Linked DNA regions of Drosophila melanogaster. The protein of the gene in region 1 interacts with the protein of each later gene in a pairwise test. Each region holds a gene or a part of one and is shown in the gene's direction. Other genes may lie near its edges.

Evidence for each region.
Region 2: the proteins of CG10104 (region 1) and CG42369 interact in a two-hybrid assay, tested with the Drosophila melanogaster proteins (one large-scale study listed by BioGRID).

What each region holds. Positions count from the first base shown.
Region 1 is NT_033778.4:14,389,101-14,392,977, forward strand, and holds CG10104 (uncharacterized protein), read left to right. Parts: upstream 1-1,595; 5' UTR 1,596-1,699; coding exon 1,700-2,914; 3' UTR 2,915-3,109; downstream 3,110-3,877.
Region 2 is NT_033779.5:6,395,261-6,399,168, reverse strand, and holds CG42369 (uncharacterized protein), read left to right. Parts: upstream 1-1,919; 5' UTR 1,920-2,075; coding exon 2,076-3,281; 3' UTR 3,282-3,316; downstream 3,317-3,908.

The sequences.
Region 1 (3,877 bases):
TTCGGGTTTTCCTGCCATGTACATGGACATTCGAGGAACTCTATCTCTTTCATATTATCCAGCAGGGAGCAGTTTTCCCCTCTGTTTCGCTCGGGTTTTACCGTTTTTCCATTCAAACCTAATTTATAAGCATCAAAGAATACAAAATGTGCTGCCTGCAATTTCCGCTTTCCAATTTGAGACAGAGTTTACCTTTTTGCCTTGCGGTGGACACAGGTCGAGGAAGGCAAAAAAAAAAAAAAAAAAAAGCCCGAAAAATAAGGAAACCGACAAACTTTTCGTTTCTTTTCGCAAAAATCAACAAGTGTTGCCACACACACAAGTTTTCTTTTGACTCCTGACACTCGGTGACAGCTTTTCAAGGACTTCCTGTCACCGACATGAATTTTGACTTTAACTCTGGCCAACTGACGGATTTTTTTGACAGCTACCCGGATTCACAAGCGCAAACTTTGCCCGTGTCCCTTAACTTTAATTGTGTTTGCCTAATTCAATGAGGGCCTGCTTTGCCTAATGGCACATAATGCAATTTCAATTCACCCGATAATGTTATTTGCCCAGGGCCAGAAAGTCGCCTTCAATTAAACGGTGCGAGCTCACACTTGTACTTCTGCCAATCCTTTTTAGGCCAGGTCAAAGGCCTCGGTCGGCGAGGAAAATGCACTAATTAAGTGTACCGCCAAGCCCTCAGCGACTTTCTGCTGAAAGTAATAATGCCAAGGAGCCGGAGCCCCGGGAATTGTCATATTCCCCGGCCCATTAGCACAGGTGTGGCCTGCCATTGACAGCTGGCTTTCAGGGCGAGAAGGTCGTCCGAAGAGGTTTTCGGGATTTGTGTCCTTCTCTCCTTCTTTGCTGAAGGCCTTTGTTATTGTCGCATTATCCTGACACTTTAATTGGGGATCATCGAGACGTATGATGGGTACGCCAAAGGCCCTTGCAGTTTGCTTTAAAACAACTTCAATAAACGATATGAACATTTTGATAGACATTCCGTATCCAAGCAATTGAGCACACATTTACGCAAATGGCAGTGCACAAATGAAAGTGCAATCAAACAGCTCCCCAGAATGGCAGCAAGTACAATTAGAAGACCCTGTCAACGGTGCACACACTCATATTTTTTTTTCAGTCGAGTACACACATCGATTCAACATATACTCAACACCTACAGACGCTTTTCACATTGCATTGAAAAGGTTTTCCTCGTCGTCTTTTCCAACAGCAACAAAAACACATTCGATCACAGCTCGATTCCAAACTGCTGCCAACACACAGACGTTTCACATTTCCAATTACATTTTCATGGAAATTTTTATGCTGCCGGGCGGTTATTTCAATGAATTGGGTATATCGAGTTTTTTTCGAGAAAAATTAAACATATTTTAAATGCTCAAGCCGTGCCGTTATATTTCGATTGCTTAAAGTGCTTTTCTGTTTCGCAACAATCTTCAGATTTATTATTTATATTTATAAATTTGAGCTCCTTCAAAGGTTTTTCTCCAAGGGTAACCGTATGTCTCATCCTTAAGGAATGTACTTCATATCTGTAATCGAAGCGTTGGCATACTGAATTGAAATATTTAAACACAATTTATTACACAACAAAGAAAGCGGCAAGTTGCCTTTCCTTTTTGCTTTGATATTTTATTGCCTGGTTTTCAACAGTACTTGGTTATCGACTGCTTTTGATAGCATTATGTGGCTGCTCGTTTCGCTACTTCCGGTGCTCTTCATACTTCCGGTACAGTTTCAACATCCGGTCAGTTGCAAGCTGCAGCTGTACCGCGTTCCCCTGCGCCGCTTCCCCTCCGCCCGTCATCGCTTCGAGAAGTTGGGCATCCGGATGGACCGGCTGCGTTTAAAGTACGCCGAGGAGGTCAGCCATTTCCGTGGCGAGTGGAACTCGGCGGTGAAGAGCACACCACTGAGCAATTACCTAGACGCCCAGTACTTTGGCCCCATCACCATTGGTACGCCGCCGCAGACATTCAAGGTGATATTCGATACGGGTTCCTCGAATCTCTGGGTGCCATCCGCCACGTGTGCGTCCACAATGGTGGCCTGTCGTGTGCACAATCGCTACTTTGCCAAGCGGTCGACCAGTCACCAGGTGAGGGGAGACCACTTTGCCATCCACTATGGCAGCGGCAGTCTGTCCGGCTTCCTTTCCACCGACACCGTTCGGGTGGCTGGCCTAGAGATTCGGGATCAGACCTTCGCGGAGGCCACCGAAATGCCGGGTCCCATCTTCCTGGCAGCAAAATTCGACGGCATCTTTGGATTGGCCTATCGCAGCATCTCTATGCAGCGCATCAAGCCACCATTCTATGCGATGATGGAGCAAGGACTTCTAACGAAACCCATATTCAGTGTTTACCTTAGCAGAAATGGCGAAAAGGATGGTGGAGCCATCTTCTTTGGCGGATCCAATCCGCATTACTACACCGGCAACTTTACTTATGTCCAGGTGAGCCATCGTGCCTATTGGCAGGTGAAAATGGATTCAGCAGTTATCCGGAATCTCGAGCTATGTCAGCAGGGATGTGAAGTGATTATCGACACGGGCACCTCTTTCCTGGCATTGCCCTACGACCAGGCTATACTTATCAATGAATCCATTGGGGGAACTCCCTCCTCCTTTGGACAGTTTCTAGTTCCGTGCGACAGCGTACCAGACCTGCCCAAAATCACCTTTACCTTGGGTGGGCGTAGATTTTTCCTGGAGTCTCACGAGTATGTCTTTCGGGATATCTACCAGGATCGAAGGATCTGCTCCTCGGCGTTCATTGCCGTGGACCTGCCATCGCCCAGTGGACCGCTCTGGATTCTGGGGGATGTGTTTTTGGGCAAATACTATACTGAGTTCGACATGGAGAGGCATCGCATTGGATTCGCCGATGCCAGGAGTTGAGGCCATGTATGCTGTTTGATGTGCTTCTTGCTTTTTCAACAACTGGTTGCCATAACACGCGAATCATCGAAAAATACAAACGAAAAACGAACGTAACATTTTACTTACAAGCTGGCAAATACCCTTTATTCACGTGTTTAAAATATTGTTCATTTCGTCTATTTAGATACTTTTTAATAAACCATTTTGGAATATATTAATACCTCTTTAATGTTGGAGTATGCTAGATCGTGATTGGTCAAAGGGGCCTAACCGATACTATGAAGTATATATATATTATATAAAAGTACTCCGTATCTGATAGTCGTGGGACTTGATTGTAGCGTTCTCTCTGCTTTTAAATCGAATTTAAAATATTATGTTATTTTCGAACAAAAGAGAATTATTGGGCATCCATCTCGTTAAGTTCGATATACCCGCTGCCTCGTATTTGGCCAACCAAATGCTGTTAGCAAGCTGTTGCTTATTTTGGGCACGTGTACGTCATCGTACTTGAAGCAATGTTCAAGGGAATCCAAGGGGAAGGAAGGCAAAAATCAAAACAGAATTTTATTATTTTATTATTTTATTACCTGCTGCTGCTCCTTTTGCTGCCCGCCATGCACTAGTGCCCCTCCGAATGTTGGCTTCCACATCCGCGCCAGAATTCTGTGTGGGCGGAAGCTAATCAAAAAAATCGCTTGCAGCCAGTGCGAGTCGATAGAGGAGTGAAAAGGACGAAGAAATGGGAAATGGGGATGAGTTCCTTGGGCGCACTGAGGATGTAATTGATTCCCGGGAAAAACAATGTCTTCTTTTGTCTCTCTCAATTCCCTCGACTGCGGCGCTTCTGGCGGTTTTTCTACGCCGCTCTTAACTTAAATTGCTGGCTTAAAAAAAAAATTAAATAAATAGCTTTAAGTTTACGAGTGAAGCGTTGCGTTTGTATTCAAATTCCCAGCCGCGGTCGCGATATCCTTCCGG
Region 2 (3,908 bases), on another chromosome or scaffold:
AAATGCACAGTTGATAAATATATGTATGTGCGATGCTCTATATTGGCCCCTCAAGCATTTACTTAATCTGTCAAGTTGAGTAAACAATGAAGCAAAATAGAAGGACAGATAAATACACTGAGATAATTTTATGACAATATCTTCGATTTAAATGGAAATCATGAAATCTTGCATTAAGTACTTTTCGCATTTGTATTTACTTTGGGAATTCTGATCCCAAGTAATGTAGCTGAAAGAACTTAAAATTCTCTTATACAGATGACTGTCCAACATCTTTATTGGATATAGATGTGTGCATACCCAATGCCTCTAGGAGTACAGGGTATTTATTCATATAAAAGAGCACAACTTAGAATGTAACTTAGAATGATGCTCGGTCAACGCGCGGGATGAGCGATAAAATCAAAGCACAGTATAACCAAAACAATTGTTCAAAAAGAAGAGCAATTTTTTCGGACAATGAAGAAAGCGCATAAGAAGTGTTTTGAAAAAAACAAAAGTTTAACTCCTTTAAAATCATTAAAACGCTTTTAGCGCTTTTCACGCCCCTGGCCAGCGAGAATTTCCACCCGTCTGGCAAAGCGCTGGAAAGTTTAGTTTCGGCTTTGTTACCGAAAAAACAGAAAGACAAAAAAAAAAAAAAGGAAAACTGTCGGCGATGATGGAAAAAGTGGCAAAGTTTTTCTCAAAGGCATCACTGGCGAAGTATAAGAATAAAATGACCGACCATGAGTGACCGGAGCAAAGCTCTATGGGCTAGTAGATACCCTAACCAGATGACTTTCTTGCGAATAGATTTTGTCACTTAAGTGCCAGCAATGTGGAGGGCAGCCGTTCCTCCAGCCATGACTCCTTGGCTTTCGTCCTCCAGAAATCCTTTGTCCTTGGCCACAGTTTGAATCAAAGTGTCTTGGTCGTTCGCCATTGAAGCGAATGCGTAGCCCATGCCAATTGTGCAATTGTTGGAAAATTTCTTCTTCAGGTTTTTGGTATCTTTTATTTTTTCTTACATTTTTTTTTTTCCTAAAAACTTTATCGGTGTGCCTTTCATTTTTTCTTAACCATTTTTCCCCATTTTTACGCTCTTTGCCAAACCGTTTCCATAGTTTTTTTTTGCGTTTTGGGTTTCGTCTTAAAAGGTGTTGGCCATTATGCGGTTGCAGATACCCTTTGATCGAATATTAAAGGCTAATGCACAGAAATGTTCGAACGAAATCGAAATCAAGTGTTTTCGCTAAAAGTTGGCAAAGGGGAAGTGGCATGAGTTCAATCAATTTGACGAACTTCAATCAAGCTGCGCCATAGAATGAAGAACGACGAGCATCGCTGATTTGGAATCCATGTGGATTCATGCCACATCCCATTTGGGATTCCGCTGAAGTTCTGTCGTCAAATGGCAGCAGTCTGCAGTCTGCAACTTTAAGCTAACTTGTGATAGGTATCCCGCACACGCGCTCAGTTTGAGTTCGGTCAACAATTGCCCGCACAGACAAATTGGGAAGGAGCGCTGACTATTTGATACATTGTAGGGACCAATGTCCTGGCCATTTGCAGTTGCACGGGCACCAGGTTACAGCGAATCGATTCCCTCATTCAATCCTATCCCGATTCACCAGTCAGTTGTTGCCACTAATGCCCTTTCGACGAACAATAGTTGTCGAAATGGGGAAAGGATAAAAATGCATTACCTTCAAATAAAAAGTTATGTATTAAATTGTGCTGGTTTCTGACAGAGGAATTGTAATCAGCGCTGAACTCTTTCCTTTCTTATTTTCGCTGTCCTTAATTTGCGTTCGATTATTAGCAGAAAATAAAATATAATATAATTTGCACGAATTGGATTACCCATTATTTCTCTCAGTGCCAGCTCCGTAGCGATAAGGCTGTCGAACTGAGCGCAGTTCGCTTTCGCACTGGTTAATCGTCAGTGGTCGGCTTGGCATATCAGACGAACTAACCGCATCACCGACTTGACTACTGACCCCAATCTAAGCCCCTTCGTCTAATCAGCCAACTGGCGGCGACAACAACGCAGTTTCTGCAATCAAAATCAGTTGGAGCCAGCTCCCTCTAAGATGATGATCGAGTGGTGGCTGCCATGGGTGTGCCTCTTGCCGCTCATGCAGGCGGATCCTGTTGCTCCCCAGCTGGATCTTGGTGTGAAGGACTTCCAGCTGGAGCTTCTGCGCGAGTTAAGCGACCTGGTGCAACAGCGGATTGAACCGAGTCTCAACGACTACCTGGATCGTCTAGGACGCATTCCTCGGAATGCCAACTACACCGAAGAGATGAGTGCAGCTCGCGCAACACCAAAGCTTCAATTGAAGGTGACGCTCATCAAGCAGCTGCTCGACGTGCGTCCGCACCTGGACACGGATATGGAGTACACCATTGTGCTGCGCAACCTGGTCTTTCTGAACCGAGTCAGATCCACGCTGAGGGCTGCCGAGGAGACTAGCACACAAGAGATCCGAATGATGCGCATGCACCGCCTCTGCCAGCAACTTGACCGACCGGCTCCTCATCGCGGCAGTCGCCTGATCAACGAACAGACAGTCGGGGCGGCATTGGGGCAACTCAATCTGACCAAAAAGGAGGTGAACTCCACCGGCTTGGATCTCAATGAGTTCGGGGCGCAGCTGTACGAGCGGGTCAAGTTATCCGGCGCCGAAATCATCGACAACTACCTGCACATACTGCGTTCCCTGCTGCAGGACATCATCGACGGTGACCATGCTGATCTGGCCGGGAGCAGTGCCAAGCTGGACAAGATGCAGCAGCAGCTGGACGTCATGCTTGCCACGGAGGACTTCTTCGAGAAACGTCAACGGGTGTATGCGTACCTGGAGCACCACTTGCGCACCGATTACGAGGAGATGCGGGACACATCGAGCAGCGAGCACATCACCGAACATCTTCTCGCCCAGCTGAAGACCAAGGGACTGGACCTGTTCGTCATCTTTCTTTTTAGCAATTTTGAATTCCTAGACCTGGTGCACGAGCACTGGGAGCAGCTGTTGCCACAGTCACCCAGTTTGCTATACGACGAGACCGCACGCCAATTGTACGATCTGCAGCAGCTGTATCAGGTCTTCAAGCTGGACACGGAGTGCGAGGCCAAGTACACGGCCTACTCGGACGCACTGCGTCGCTTGCACGAGCGGACCGTGGAGCAGGGTCAGCGCAACCGGCACATCTTTGAGCTGCTCCACAACGCGGCACAAAGCGTCGGCACGGTTACCTTCAACATGATCCGGGCCAAGTGCAATGAGCTAAGATGAGATGACATTTATAATAAAACCAAACTTTGCTACTTAAATGATGAGAGTTGCGTGCTTTTGGCTATATAGTTCCACATACTAATATCTTATATTGAAGACATCGCCTGTGCTGCAATTGACAGCGTTTGAAAGGACAAGTTTCACAACATAATTACATTTTGCCAGTTCCTGCGGTTGTCGCCTGCTTTTAATATCCGTCTGCCGCATCTGATTTCGCTTAAGTATCGTCCAGGAACACCTTTCCACATCTTCGGGGTGAGCGGACAGCAACTTCCTTTTGCCGCATTATGCAGATGTTGCCGTTAGTGTTGCTTCTCCTGGTGTTGCCACTGCTCGTTGTTTATCAGATGCTGCCAGGGCTCTAAGGATTCAACTCTTGCTCCTGCTTCAGCTCCAGCTGAAGCTGCAGCATCATGGCTCCCTTGTGGTACCGATGGGCCTTCAGACTAATGACTGCTGCTGCCGCTGTCGTTGGCCAAAGCCAGCTAATTAATTGTCGTCGTTGCAGGTGATTAGAACTTAAATGAGTTGCCGGTGCAGCAGAAGTTTCCGTGGCACAGTTAGCCGTCAAAAAAAGGACGACATGGTGGTATAGCCATCCCGAATAGCAGACATGGTGGTTGCTAT